Linked DNA regions of Oryzias latipes. The protein of the gene in region 2 interacts with the protein of the main gene of each other region in a biochemical or structural test. Links are inferred from orthologs where the notes say so. Each region holds a gene or a part of one and is shown on either strand. Other genes may lie near its edges.

The links.
Region 1: of the proteins of lats1 (region 2) and mink1, one has a biochemical effect on the other in vitro, tested with the Homo sapiens proteins (2 studies listed by BioGRID). The link is inferred for Oryzias latipes from reciprocal best matches to the Homo sapiens genes LATS1 and MINK1.

Annotation. Positions count from the first base shown.
Region 1 is NC_019872.2:15,696,358-15,700,173, forward strand, and holds part of mink1 (misshapen-like kinase 1), read right to left. Parts: intron 3,199-3,816; coding exon 3,091-3,198; intron 2,546-3,090; coding exon 2,459-2,545; intron 745-2,458; coding exon 568-744; intron 486-567; coding exon 321-485; intron 95-320; coding exon 1-94. UniProt on the Homo sapiens protein: Serine/threonine kinase which acts as a negative regulator of Ras-related Rap2-mediated signal transduction to control neuronal structure and AMPA receptor trafficking.
Region 2 is NC_019882.2:17,714,240-17,718,789, forward strand, and holds the start of lats1 (serine/threonine-protein kinase LATS1), read left to right. Parts: upstream 1-1,695; 5' UTR 1,696-1,883; intron 1,884-2,394; 5' UTR 2,395-2,479; coding exon 2,480-2,833; intron 2,834-3,178; coding exon 3,179-3,299; intron 3,300-3,877; coding exon 3,878-4,550. Other genes in the region: nucleoporin Nup43, read left to right, coding at 866-1,095. UniProt on the Homo sapiens protein: Negative regulator of YAP1 in the Hippo signaling pathway that plays a pivotal role in organ size control and tumor suppression by restricting proliferation and promoting apoptosis.

The DNA.
Region 1 (3,816 bases), on a different chromosome or scaffold from region 2:
CGGACATGTTCTTAGTGGGCTGGTCACAGAGGGACTGAGAGCGAGGAACAGGGGCAGCGTAAGGCTTTAGAGGAACCAAATGAGCCATCTGAAACTGCAGAGGACCAGGAGGGAGGTGCAGCCAAGTGAGAGCGCAGGAAGACATCAAAGTGGGGAAGAAGACACAGTTATGTTTTTGTTGGAAGGGGATTTTGTAAATGAGGGAACAAAGTGAAAACAGACATGGAAAAGAAAAAAAGAAGCAAAGTGTCAAAGGTAAAGCAACTGAGGAATTAGGAGGCAGAAATGTAGATCCATGCATTTTCACAATAAGCACAAACCTTGCTCTGCCCCCCTTGAGGTTCCACTGGCCTCTGCATGGGTGGTGTCTGAGCAACCGATCCTGATTGGCTGATAGAATCGGCACGCGACTGGATATTAGTGTCAGAGACCGTAGTGCAGATTTTGGGTGAACCCTGCCTGTTGAGTTTACTCCGCTCCTCCACCTAGAACAGGACGGTGAAAAGAAAGGTCAACAGTGTGTCGTCATGAAGGGCGCTGTGACTTAAACCAAGCCCAGCCTGGTACCTCTCGGGCCCAATTAGGTTTGTTGTTTGGCTCCAAGTTTTTGTTGTAGTGGTAAAGCTGGGGCTTCTTGTCTTGCTGCTGCTGTTGCAAAGACACCAGGTAGGCATGCTCCTGCTGCAGCTGTCTCTGCAGCCGCTCTGACTGGCGCTGCTCCTCCAGCTGTTTGCGCTTATACTCCTGAACAAAAAAGAAAAACAGCCACAATCAAAGGACAGTGGACGCACAAAAAACATCACATGGGGCAAATATAATTGTTCAATTTCTGACAAAACGTCATCATTTTGCTGATTGGCATGAGGTAAGTCGGCTGACTTGTTGACTTTTTGTCACCAGGTCTCTGCTCTTCCAGCCTTTGGCAAACAAAAATAGTCATAACTTGAATACCTCAAGTTAAAATTCAACTTTCTGCAAAGTGTTAAAAAAACATACAGTAAACTTTAAATTAGTTTTTCCTAATATGCAAAGGTGATCTCAAATCATAAACAAATTATATTGCCACCATTATTGAGGTCTGCACTCAATGAAGAATGACGAATAGCATCATCAGCAGCAAACAGCAACTATCCGGTGGCTGCAGATCCATGGGTTTAAGCTGCCGTCTGCCCATCAGTTGATTGGGGATTTGGTTCCCAACTTAAGAGTGAGTGTGTCCTTAAATATAATGGATAACCCCACAACTCTAGGAAGCCTGAAAGTTGCTCAAGATGTCTCTTCCATCTGTCATTTTATGCGAAAATGCAATTTTCTGCAGACCAAAGTGGCTGCATTAAGATTTCTTTGTGACAAAGTGTAGTCCTAGCATGGTGCAGCCAGAGAAGAGGCCCATCTACTGCCAGCAGCACCATCAAAGCCTTTACTTCTGCTACACATAGATACCCCAGCCTGTGTTAAACACCTCATACTCCAGAAACCTATCTGACGCGACACACTGGTCTCCATAATAAGCCTTTGGTCCCAGTATTAAGTATTAAAAGCAAAAAATAATTTGGATGTAAACCTGCAACTTTAAACAGAGCTAATCTGTTGTTCTATAACTGGTAAAAACACAACACACATTTGTGCATCATAAGGAACCTATATTGGAACTCCCAAAACTATTTTAACCTAGAATTACTTTTATTTGCCACTATATTGCACTGGAATCACTACAAGCTTTGCAAAGGCTGCCACAGTTTAAATAAAAGGCAAAAATTAGAGGCAAAGGCAGTCTGCTAGTTTCTAGTTGAAAGCAGATTTGAGGATTTAAACTGCAGTAGAATCAGAGAATATTGGTTGCAAAATGTAGCCTTTAAACATTCATAGTTTCCACAGGGGGGTTGCCCTGTGACTGACCCTGTTGTCTGCCCCCATAAAGCCTAGCTCAGGAATCCTGTGAATGCACTTTTAAGTGCCTCAAGTGTTCTACATATAGAGTCAATAATCCCTCTGTAAAACTGAAATAGACCTCAGTGTTAATTATGACCTCAGTACATTCTACAGTAGGAAACTAACGGAGAAGTCACAGGAAATGCGGGAAATCTAGGCTTCAACTGAAGGCTGCAAAGCGCCTAAACTCACCTGGAAATCTAGGTCATTAAATATGTTAAAATATCTGCAATAATATGTGAGCAGCACTAATGGCTTGTAATGTACATCCACATCCTCCAATCTACCGATTAGAATAACCATTACTGCACACTTTATGACAATGTAGGGATGTTTATCTTTATTCATTTCAGATTATATGGCAAATAAAATATTTAAAAAAAAAAATCACATTACATTAAAAAGTTAAAATAAAAGCTAAATGTATTAAACACAGCATGTTTATGTCCCGACTGATTAACTGTTATTGGTGAAATAATCATAAACCCAAGCTTATGACTGTAAACAAACATTAGGGAGTAGTTACCATGAGCAGTGCCTGCTCCTGAAGCAGCTGCTGCTGTAGGATTTCTAACTGCCGCTGCTCTTCCTCTAACTTATGTCTGATAAACTCCTGCAGGAAGGTAAGAAGACAGAGGTGGTGCTCATTAGGGTGATGACAGGAGAAATGAAGGAGTGCCAGATTTGTTTAGAAGCTGGAATGATGCGTTATGCAAGATCTGTAAAATGTAGCATGAGATGTTTTGATTAAATGTCATTATTAATTACATAATAGGAAAGGTGCAGATGCTTTTTAGAAGAGGCAACGTATCTAAGTTTACACACATACTTGCAGATCTAAATAAATAAAATGAAGATAAGCAGACTTTGAGATTTGAAACATTTTACATTAGTGGGGCGCCCAGGAAACAAAGATGAGGTGTGTAGGAGTAAAAGGAGATGGTGCTCTGAGTACAGACTGAGAGGACCCTGCAAGAGCTTCCGCACAAAAAAACCCCTCTACCCTCAGTAAATACACTAATTTAGGCCTTTGCTGCTATGGCAACCCACTGATGGAATTTCACCACCAGAGCAACTTGTGCCGTATTGTTGGAAGACACGCCTTAACTTCATGGTGATTGGCTGCTTACAGATTCCGTGTCCCCTGCAGTTGGTTACCTGCTCCCTCTCAGCCATCCTTCTATCTTCCTCCCGTCTCATATCGTCAATTCTCCGATGGGGACCTTTTTCTTGCTGCCTCACCATCTCTCGCTCCTTTCTCTGTTGCTGGGAGAGAGGTGACAGGAAAGAGAAATTACACAAAGGAAACTAGTCTGCTTTTTAGCAAATGATCCCCCTGAAAAGAGCAGCAGAAAGAGTGAGGAGTAGAGAATAGATGTGACTTATCCTGACTATTACACAACTATTGGTGTGTGTGATGTTCTAATTAGAACACATCAGTGACAGTTTCTTATGTTTGACAGAGAGAAATCTTAATTTATGCTCACATTGATCACTGAAACAATGATATTTCTCAGTGAAGAAATTATGGCTTCTGAACTGGGAGAGAAACACAAATCCATTCAGCTGTTAATTATAAATTCACTGTGAGCACGGAGTGCAGGGAGAACACAATAACACCAGTTTGATCCATTAGATAAAGCAAGATCAGCACCCTAAAAAAAAACCTAAACACACAATTATCAAAAGATGAACCAATGACAGAAAAACTGACAACAAAGCGGGTGAAAACAGGTTAAGTAGACCAAATGCTCACCCTAAAAATGTAAAGGCCAGGAGGATTTTCTTCAGGGTTTTAGATCTAAATTAAGGTCGATGTTTTAGGATTCACAAATACTACAGCAGGTAATATGATTAAACCAGATGGCATTACTTCAACTTATG
Region 2 (4,550 bases):
AACTCTGAAATACAGCTGTCACTGTTTCGCAAAGGTGGTTTGGCAGAGTTTTAAACCAGATACCCTTCCTGTACTTATTCAGGCTAGTGTTATATGGGGGCGGGGCTTTGAGCCCATTGGTTACCATGACATGATTGATGTTGTGTGATAGAGGTCATGACAATGTCATTTCCACTTCAAAGGAGGGATGACTCGAGGTTACATTGTGTACTTTTGAATGTAATTTTTTTCTGGAAATGTTTTTCATTCACTTTAAGCTTGAACATATAGACTCTTCAGTCTGACTCCTTTTTTTTTTTTTTAATGCGTCCTCTCCATTCATTTCTGTGCAGAGCTCCGAATATTTTGACAACAATTTCTGATTTCGCTCCCTGGTGTCTTTGACTTTCCAAGTAGAGATTTAGCTAATTTTTATTTCCTCCTTCCTCCTCAGCGTTGTAGCTCTCTGAGAATTATTTAGACATTTCTCTCTCTGGTTGTTGACTCTGAGGACACAGTCATGACTTTGCACATTCCTCTGCTTTGTGTTCATCAAACATCCCTTCACTTCAAACTAAAACGATCTTGTTGACAGCTCAGAAGTTCTCTAAAGTCTAATTACAGCTTATCAGTCCTGATTTGTACAACAGAGATTTGTGTGTTTTGGCTAAAAACAAAGTCAGTCTTTTGAAAGGGTTAATATGAGACAAGATTTGTTATGAAATTTTAAAGAAGTTTAGAGTTTAAAGCCAATGACGCTGAAACAAATACAGGGACAATAATCTCAATCCTAGAGTGTAAACTCTGCATTTTTGATAGAATTTGGGGTAATTCTGAGAATATTTGCAGTTGGGGGTGAACGTTGGATTGTTTGAACTGTTGACAGGTGGCAGGAACAGCAGCGTGATCTCCCACGGCGCGCTGACCCCCGCTGGCGGGAACCGCCCCCTCAGCAGCGCCTGGCTCTGCGGAGATTCTGGCAAAGGCTGCCTGGAGACGACGCACATGCTGCCCAGCCAGACCATGTCCGTCAACAGCCTGGACATCATCGGACAGTGTCTCGTCTGCGGCACCGACGGAGAGGCCATTTTTGTCAACAGACATGTCCCAGTTTAAAAAATAAGTGTCTTTTGTGAGGAAAGAGATGTTACTGTCCTCATGTTGTGTTCTGACTGTGTTTTGTACAGATTTGATTTAAAAGGTTATTAAATTACAAATAAACGCTCAAATAAGTCTAAAAAGTTGTTTTATTGTCAGTCTTGTTTTTTTATTTTCCAATATTTACGATTATTTGATAGATTTGTATTTACACTGTGTAAAAAAAAAAAAAAAACAAACAAGTCAGCTGCTAAGAACACAGGGAAAAATGGTCTTGATTTCAAATTAAATGTGTTAAACATCTTAAAGTAATACTTCCTCACAGAAATTCTATTTTTTTTTTTTACTTGACTGTTGTTTAATCATCTTTTGAGGACTAATACTCACAGATGAAGACAAACATATGAAATTATACTGCCTACCTTAAGGAAAATTCATAGTATTATGAAGCACTAGTCATTTTAAACAATTTGAAACGATTTTTTTTAAAGATCTTTTTCTTGTAATCGTTTTATTTCTGGTTTGCTTTTTATAAATTTTTAAGCAATGGGTTGTTTTTGATCTCATTCCCTGTTTGTTTCTTGACCCTTGATAGTTTTATTTTGAAAGCGGCGGCCACCGGAAGTGCAGCGCTGCACTCTGACGGCAGCGTTTACTTGTCATTCAGACATCCCGGGAATCCAACGCGACAAGGAACCAGTCACCGCGGCTCAGACATTTATCCATTTAACCTGCGTCCAGCGGAATTAACCCAAAAACACATCGAGCCGTTCAAACAGGGAGACAAGCGGCCGCTTCACGCGCTGGTAGGTTCCGGTTCTCTCTGCTGGTCTCTGAGCAGCCGCTAACCCTCAGCTGCTGTTGAATTTTAGCAAACACAGCAGGCCGTAAAGAAATGTTTGTCTTTGTCTGACGAATACAGCTTATTGTTTTAATCACAAACGACACCTACTATGTTTATAGTAAGGTAAAAAGATTTTTATTTTTAAGATATGTTTACATATTTAATGTTAATTGACGTAGAATTAGCGTCAAAGTAGCGTTTGTTAGCTAACAGAGCTAACAAGCTAGCATGTTTTGGTGTTACAAAGAAGACAGTTAACTTTTAAGTATAAACATGTAAAATACATTAAATGTCACCCGGAAGTAGGGATATAAACGTATTAAATCTAAGCTTAGCTCCTGTTTGTGACGGAAACATGGCCCTGTTTTTCAGTGCCCCTTTGAATTGAATTGAATTGAATTGAATTGGCTTAACCTGTTTGGTAGCATAACATGTATTCTTTGTCGTTCTCACGCTGCTGAAAACACATCCAGCTGAAGCATGCTGCTGTGAGGACCGACCAGAGCCTGCACTGCTGTTACCCTCTTCATCCTCCATCGTCATCGTATATGATCCTACATGAGGAGAGCGGAGAAGCCCGAGGGCTACAGACAGATGAGACCTAAGACCTTCCCCGTCAGCAACTACAATGGCAACAGCCAGCAGATGCTGCAGGAAATACGCAACAGCCTGCGGAACCTGACCAAGCCCTCGGATCAGCCGAAAGGGGACACCGGGGGACCTGGAAAGATGGCCCCTGAAGATCCACGGCAGCAGGGGCGCAGCGGGAACCTCAAAAACCAATACCAGAAGGCTTTACAGGAGATCCGCAAGTCCCTTGTTCCGTATAAAGTGAACGGTTCTGGGGACGAGGAGTCCACCACGTCAGGTGCTGATGGAAACAAGTCCCAGGACCAATCTGGGTTTGAGGAGGTATGAGGAATGCGTTTAGTCTTCTTAGATAATTGGATTCCATTCTGTACATACTTGTGCGGCTGAGGACGGTCACATGGTGCACTTTGTTTAGAGAGGAGTTATGTAGGAAATGCCAGGTATTTGACAAGCTGGTACAGTTAATACCATGGAAGCTGCATAGTTAACGATTTGCGGGCGTTGGTGTGGAGGAGGAGGAGGAGGAGGTCTGTCATCTTCATCTGTGCGTTCTGAAAGCCTAATGATGACGTGTTGATGATTAACACTCCAAAAATTCACAACATTTGAATTTTTTTCTTTCCTGTATACATTTCAAGCTTATTAATCAGTTGTTCTCTTCTGAAGCCATCCAGTGGACGCCGTGGGGGGGTTGCCTCAGACTACATGTTAAAGCCGAGTTACCAGGACCCAATGAGAGATCAGATGACTGCTTCCAGTTCAAACTCTTCAGCCCTGAAAGCCCCGGGTACGCACTCCTGTGGTGACGGTTGCTTCGTTTGATGACAAGTGTTTGTGTCTATTTGGCTGGTTAAACATTTGTGTGTAACCCAACGGTCTCAGAGATGTGCGGTTCTGGACAGAGAGGAAACATTCTGTTGTTTCTGAGGATACATAGAACGCCTTCGGTTAACGGCGAGGAGCTTTTGTTATTCAGACACTTTTCTCACTGTTTCACCTTATTAGGTTCTGCTCGGTAAAACTGAAATTTTTTTTGTGTGAAAACGAACATTTATGAAATTCTTCAGGTTATTTAGGAAAGCTTGAATTTAAAAAAAAAATCCCTAAATAAAATTAAATAACTGAGGGGAAGATTCCATTCATGTAATCTTTTGCTGTGGTTTGTTAATCTATATTCCTGGTTTGTGTTTAATCCCAGATATAATCCCAATCTGGCTAAATTTATGGTTTCAAGGCATTGATTGATTTCAAATCAGATTATTATCCTGCATGTAAGCAGTTTCACTTTTTGCCAAAGATGGAGCTGTTGTGCGGCATTGAATGTGTGCTTAGTCTAACGATGTGTGTGTGCGTGTGTGTGTATAGAAGCCTTCCACATGCCGCAGGTGGTGCTGCGGAGGCCGAGCTGGAAAGGCTCCATGGAGTCTTTGGGCTCTCGCCACGGCCCCAATATGGTGGACGGGATGATGTACCGCTCGGACAGCCCCGGACCCCCCCCTTCGTTCTCGCAGGCTCACCCGACTGCCAACCAGAGGGTCAACCCCCCCCTCCCTCCTCAGATGCGCAGCGTCACACCTCCCCCCAACCGGGCCATGCCACCTGCGCCGTCCTGGGACAACAACCCGCAGACTAACCGCCTCCCTGGAAATATGGATTTCTTCCCCACCCGCATATCCCCGGTGCCTCAGGCCCCCTGGGCTGATGGGTATCCAACCCCCGCAGCCCCGAACCAGCGAGTGATCGGCCCCGCCGCTGGAAGTCACCAGCCCATCATAATGCAAAGCTCCGGGGGGAGCAAGTTCACCTTTCCCTCTAGCTGGACTCAGAGTGGTTCCTCCCAACCGGAGCATGTGTCAGGGGGGAGCAGACAGCCCCCTCCCCCTTACCCTCTTACTCAGAGCAGCTCCACTGACCCCCAGGTGGGGGGACCCGCCTCGTCTCCTTCCTACATCAACGGCGGCGGGATCCCTCCATCCCTGATGATCAGTAACCGGAACAGCCACAACCTGGAGATGTACGGCATTGCCCCCCAGTCCTG